Regions from separate parts of the Mus musculus genome. Here region 1 is reported to be linked to region 2. The links are microRNA targets in miRTarBase. Many come from high-throughput screens and were not tested one by one. Region 2 holds a microRNA gene; the other region holds the end of a gene's coding sequence.
Evidence for each region. The annotated mature microRNA mmu-miR-880-3p reads UACUCCAUCCUCUCUGAGUAGA and lies in region 2 at 1,984-2,005, opposite strand. An mRNA with a match to its seed (bases 2 to 7 or 8) in the 3' UTR can be bound and repressed. Matches are read on the target gene's strand: a 7mer-m8 pairs with bases 2 to 8, a 7mer-A1 pairs with bases 2 to 7 and ends in A, and an 8mer does both.

Region 1 (3,075 bases), not on the chromosome of region 2:
TCACACATTACCCCTCCCCAACTGGGGTCCATGGCCTACCTTGCCTTCTCTCTTACTGTGACATGGCCAGAAAAGGTTATAGAGCTGGATGTGGTCTAAGTGTGACACCTAGCTCTTTGCTCCAGACCTCAACAACTCCAGCTTCTTGCCTGTGCCTGCCCTGGGTTGTGTTTAACAAGCTAGACCCTGGTCATGTCCTGTAGCTGTACCCTTCTTGGAGGTATTTTCTGGCCACTTGGGGGTTATTGGCATTTTACAGGGTCCTGTGTAGAACTGTGGTTGACCTTGGACATTACCTGGGTAGTTGCTAGGATGGAGCCTACCCTGGGGCCATATATGTGGGGTTGAACAAGTAGCCTGAGTGACACGTCTAGCTAGAAGTTCTTCACAAGGCTTGGCTCAACCTGTGTCATTGAGGCTTTGGCTCTTATGCAGGTCCCCTCAGGTGGCTATTCTTCTATCAACAACGTCCAGAATTCCCACAAGCCTGAGCCCAGGGACAAGATGGAGAGCTTCTTTGTGGGGGAAACCCTGAAGTACTTGTACCTGCTCTTTTCTGATGACCTGGAGCTGCTCAGTCTGGACAGCTGTGTGTTCAACACAGAAGCCCATCCCCTCCCCATCTGGGCTCCTGCGTAGGAGGAGAGCACCTGGTCTGGGCACTGATGGAGACTGAGGTGGGCCTGTTGGGTCCCTGACCTTCACAAGGCCCACATAGTTTTGGGCAGCTGTCAAGTGTGATGTACCTGCCCAGTTGTAGGTCCCTCCAGTTTCAACTTTTCATGAAGGTGGTGGGAGGGGCAGGAGTCAGACTAGCAGGTATGGGTTCTGGGGTTTAGGCTGGAAAGTCTACCAAGCCTTTGACTTCCTCGAAACCTCATATCATGGCTCCTGATTCCCATACCTGAATGACCCTGTTGGCTGGCTACCGGCAGCCCCATGGTAGTCCCAAGACTTCTTATCACCTCCTGGGACCACCCAGGACCCCAGTGCCTGTATTGAGTTCAGAGTGATAGCCCAAACCAGTGAGGTGCTGGGCATGGCCCAATGGCCTGTGATAGCCCTGACTCCTGATTGACCCATGGGTCCACTGGGCCAGTGTGACCTTGAGGGTCTTTGTGGCTCTAGTGTTTACGGGTTGGACTCAGGGATCCTCCTGGCTACCCTACTGGGCTGGCGGGGGTTAGAACAGTAAATTTGTCTTATTCCCAGGATACCCTGGTATAATGTGATCTCTCAGCTGAGAAGAAAGTGGACTTGGTCCCACTGTAATGGTTCTTGTGGAGAGGAGGGAAGGGGTGGTGTCTATCTAGACTGACCTTAAGGGGACAGCAGGTTCTCTGGATAACATCTCAGCAACTACCCTCTAAAGTCAGAGCTCCTGTCCACTTCAGGTAGGAAGGCTTTGGGGCCATTATACAAACAGGCTAGGATGCTTGGTTGTGCCGTCTCACAAGGGCCTGTGAAGATCACATGCTGCTGCCGGCTGATAGGTTTGTGGTAGTTGTGCCTTGGTGTCTGAGCCCATGGAGTAGGCCCTGTCTTTGATGAGTTGTTACTAGACTATCCCTGGGCCTTGGCTAGGATTCTCCTATCCAATTCCATGCAGTACAGCATAGGGCAAACTGGACAGAATAGAAAGGACCTCAAGGCTCTGGGCCTGTGTTCCCTGTATATCCCAAGATCTGGAGATTTGACATGCTAACTAACTCATCTGCAGCTCAGTGGCAGCCACCTTGTGCCTCTGAGGTATAGTAGCTACGCTGGGGACTTCCTGTTAAACACGTGGACCCCAAGCCAGTTCTAACACCAAAGGTGTTTACAAAGAAGGACTTGGCTGGTCACATATCCTTAGGCCTTGAGTTTATGGGTAGAAGCTGCCGCCCTCCACCCCCCCCCCCCCCCATCAGTTATAACCCTTTGGTTGATGTTAGCTTCTCCCTATGCTGTCCTCCTCTACCGGAGCCCCATAGGCTTGTGAATGGACAGGTTCAGGCGGCGCCCAGGGCCTAAGCATTGAGAAGTGTATTCTCCATCTCCTGCCAAACTATGGCTGGTGTCAAGGGATGACAGTAACTGCCCTGTGGCCCTCTGAAGAGGTACTGTGGATCAGAGAAACTGGGTAGATGTCCACAAAGCTGGGAGCCTCATTAAAGCATACAAGATGGGAATGGGCCTGGAAGGGGAGGCTGGTGCCCAGTAGAGGCAGGTTTCCCTCCTCCTCCAAAGCAGGAAACCTGAGAGCTAGAGTCCCTGCTTAATTAAATGTCTAAATGGTCTCAGCAAGCTGTGTGCAGTGTTACTTTGTGTAGAGCATATCTCCAATTATCTCATCCTTCCATGCATGGATCCTACTAGACAAGGACACATTAACATGTGTTTATTCAGTTTCTTCCATCTACCATAAATCTGGACAGTCCATCAGATACAAGGCAAGTTGTCACACCACTGTAGATCACATAAAACAAGGGATGTCTGGGGTTTGCTGCATCTTATCTGGAAGGGTGCTGCTTCTTAGGCCCAGGCCACCGTGGCATTGCTGGTTGCTTTAGTCTGGCTGCTGCTACCCACTCACGAATGAGGGTAGATTCCAGCTTACGCACCTCCACGACAGATGGGGGGTCTTCTGAGTTAGATGCTCTAAGAAGCAGACAGATAAGGGGTAAGGATACTCAGCTGGCAAGCAGACAGGGTCAGCATCATGTCCATCTAATCCACAACCCAACAGTGGCCTGGAGGTGGGCTGCACTACACTGTACCTGAGATCTAGGTGATGTGCTCCCCCCTGGATGGTGACAGCAATGACTGATGTACTCAGGTTGCTCTGGATCTGTTGGAAGAATCTGAGGCATGTAGTCTGTGCTTTAAGCCACAGGTAGGCAAGCCCTGTCCCACCCTTGCACCCTGACATAGATGCCAATACTGTCTTTGGGATGCAACTGAAGCAATAATGAGCTTACTGCACAGTTTCAGATAGCTCCATTGGAAAGAAAAGGTTGGATGTGATGGGCCAGATGTTAGACTATACATCAAGTGATGTAGGGGGAAAAAAAGCAACCCAAAAGAGAGAAGAGG
Region 2 (3,128 bases):
GTTACAGAGACAAAGTTTGGAGCTGAGATGAAAGGATGGACCATGTAGAGACTGCCATATCCAGGGATCCACCCCATAATCAGCATCCAAACGCTGACACCATTGCATACACTAGCAAGATTTTATTGAAAGGACCCAGATGTAGCTGTCTCTTGTGAGACTATGCCAGGGCCTAGCAAACACAGAAGTGGATGCTCACAGTCAGCTAATGGATGGATCACAGGGCTCCCAATGGAGGAGCTAGAGAAAGTACCCAAGGAGCTAAAGGGATCTGCAACCCTATAGGTGGAACAACATTATGAACTAACCAGTACCCCGGAGCTCTTGACTCTAGCTGCATATGTATCAAAAGATGGCCTAGTCAGCCATCACTGGAAAGAGAGGCCCATTGGACTTGCAAACTTTATATGCCCCAGTACAGGGGAACGCCAGGGCCAAAAAGGGGGAGTGGGTGGGTAGGGGAGTGGGGATGGGTGGGTATGGGGGACTTTTGGTATAGCATTGGAAATGTAAATGAGCTAAATACCTAATAAAAAATGGGAAAAAAAAGAATAAATGCACCTTACTAAACTTTGGTCCTTTAGATACAAATGCCAAATTAAGGCCAGCAAGCTCTAACAAGGGTTAATGCTTCTATACCACAATGATGTTCCAGGTGATGAACATAGTGAACCTTCCTCTACCTTATATGGTGTCTATCATCATTTATGTTTTACATGATGGACAACAAATTAGGTAAAGCAGGGTACATCATACCTTTAATATAAAAATGTTGCAAATGTAGCTTCCATGATCCTCTTTATCTTTTAGCAAAGTACCAATTGTACATTGTTGCTAAAACTTGACATACTTTGTGTATAATATATATACATATATGTACACACACACACACAATCTACAAATTGTCACCAAAAATTCCTCCAAGAGAATATCCTCTGATGTGTCTTCTGTTTCAATTAATGGTATTCTCTACCAAGACAATACGGGGGACTGTAATTTCACTTATATAAGTTAGAATTTCTCGTTGAAGTTATTTTTCTTCCTCCTGTAACATGCAAGTATTAAAATAATTATTAGATTTGTGTGTTCAGCAAGGAATAACTACAGAACCCATAAAAATAGAAAAAGGCCACTGGGTAGAGAGTTGTGAGAAAAGCTTACTAAAAGGGTAACAAAACACAGGTGGTATGGAAGAGGAAAGGAGACTAATGGGGGGGGGCATTGTTTAACTGTGGAGCAAGGTAAGATTCTAGGATAAGTGAGGGAGTAGGGAAGAAATGAGTATCACAACTCTGTTTTAAATATCCATATAAGAACAATATATGGTAGATACAGTGACCTGTAGTTTGCGTAGATGATTGCCAACACTGTATCTGTAAAATTAAATTCATTTTATTAATTCATATGAAGAATAAACTAAATGTTTTGCACTTTTATGCTTACATACTTGTATATATTCATAAGGTGAGTACACAAATGAAATCTTCATTAAATATTGCCTTACCCAATATGGGATATCATCTTTTATGTTTCCCAGGGTGCACAGAAAATTAGCTAAAGCAGCATACATTATATGTAAATGTTGAAATGTTGAAATCTAGCCTCTACAATCCCCTTTTTATCTTTAGCTTGCATCAAGTTACCAACTCACATGATAACTAAATGCTAGTCTAATTTGTTCATGCATCATCATGGATTCCATCAAGAACCTATCTTTTTAACATTCCTCCAGCTTCAGAAGAATGGTTTTCACTAGCATGAAAGTTAGCTGACTGCCATTTTCTCTGAACCGTAGTATTTCCCAAAAAGATCATTTTTTATCCTTCTGTAGTCTGTTCACTCATCCAAGCTATCTAAGGTGAAGTGTAATACATTGAAGCTGAAGACTGGAAAACACATCTAATATGCATGCATGTATCAACCTCACCATATCCATACATGAGACATTTACAGGTACCAAAACTGGTGATTGGTGTGCCTTACTCTACTCAGAGAGGATGGAGTAACATGCAATAGGAAGTGACTCATATCAATCTGAGTATTGCAGTGCACACAGTTTGTTCAGTGATGTCCTGTGTCTCAGCTTGATCCCACAATCTTCAGTATATTCCAGCAATTATATAAATATAGTTAGATACATCAACAATACCTTATTTATTCATAGGTTTAAAAGGACTATACTGCACTTTATCTTTCACAACTCTTCATATTCTATGATCTATAGTATTTAACTTTATACATGTATGCACTAATAAAAGTACCTTATGTTAGCACCTTTCTTTACATTATTTAACATGAGGTTCATAAGATTAAGAACAGACTGTCCAAAGAATGTTAAAGAGAATTTAAGCCATCAGATATCAAAAATTCCTCTATAAATAGGAACTTCAAGTTACCTTGGTTACATACAGAGGCCATTATATGAGTTACTTGCTGAACCTTCCTTTAAGAAAATCCATGGTCATAAGGACTTCATCTCATCAGTACCAATGTTAATATAAAAATGAGCATAATTGTATTTAAGTAGACACTGTCACAAAAGCTTCCTTCATCTCCTGCCCATTTTATTACATAGTCATCAAACCACAATGTTTGAACTCTTCTGTAATTTAGGCTTAAAATCATATTATCAAACACCTTTAGTATGTGTTTCTCATACCATAAATCCTTTTACTTGCCTTCTTCTAAGGGAAATGACTGTCAAAATAAAGAGTGGAGGTTTTATAAATGTATTCATGTACTGGGAACTGTGTTAATGTACTTTATTTTTTCTTGTCTGACTTAAAGAGATTCTTTCTGACACTAACACAACATTCCTTATGTAAAGGTAACAATATAAATACACCTAGAAACACAATATGCATGGTTCTATTTCTGTGCAGCCAAACTAACAGCAGCATTCATTTATCAGCACTGTGACCACCCAAGCCCACAACAAATGAGGAACACTGTGAGCCCTCCTCTACCCAGTGTGGTGTCATGCACTTAAGTTTCACGTGTCTTGACATCCAACTAGATAAAGCATTGCACACAACACTCTTTTCATTAACTTGCTGTATAAGAAGCCTCTATCATACACTTCAGCTTTTATCAGAGACTAAATTAAAAAAAAACATGATAACTATCCT

Region 1: miRTarBase lists Man1b1 as a target of mmu-miR-880-3p. Seed matches in the 3' UTR shown: 8mer at 1,527-1,534.

The regions. Positions count from the first base shown.
Region 1 is chr2:25,349,927-25,353,001 of GRCm38, forward strand. Man1b1 (mannosidase, alpha, class 1B, member 1) reads left to right here. Exons shown (of 13, transcript NM_001029983.2): 13 at 436-2,287. The coding sequence ends at 639. Dpp7 (dipeptidylpeptidase 7) reads right to left here. Exons shown (of 13, transcript NM_031843.2): 12 at 2,760-2,830; 13 at 2,364-2,640. The coding sequence ends at 2,493. Among named protein-coding and RNA genes, the nearest start is that of Dpp7, 4.9 kb to the right of the region's middle.
Region 2 is chrX:66,798,557-66,801,684 of GRCm38, forward strand. It overlaps Mir880 (microRNA 880), which reads right to left and starts at 2,051; the gene lies at 1,974-2,051. It overlaps Mir463 (microRNA 463), which reads right to left and starts at 741; the gene lies at 667-741. It overlaps Mir878 (microRNA 878), which reads right to left and starts at 3,029; the gene lies at 2,952-3,029.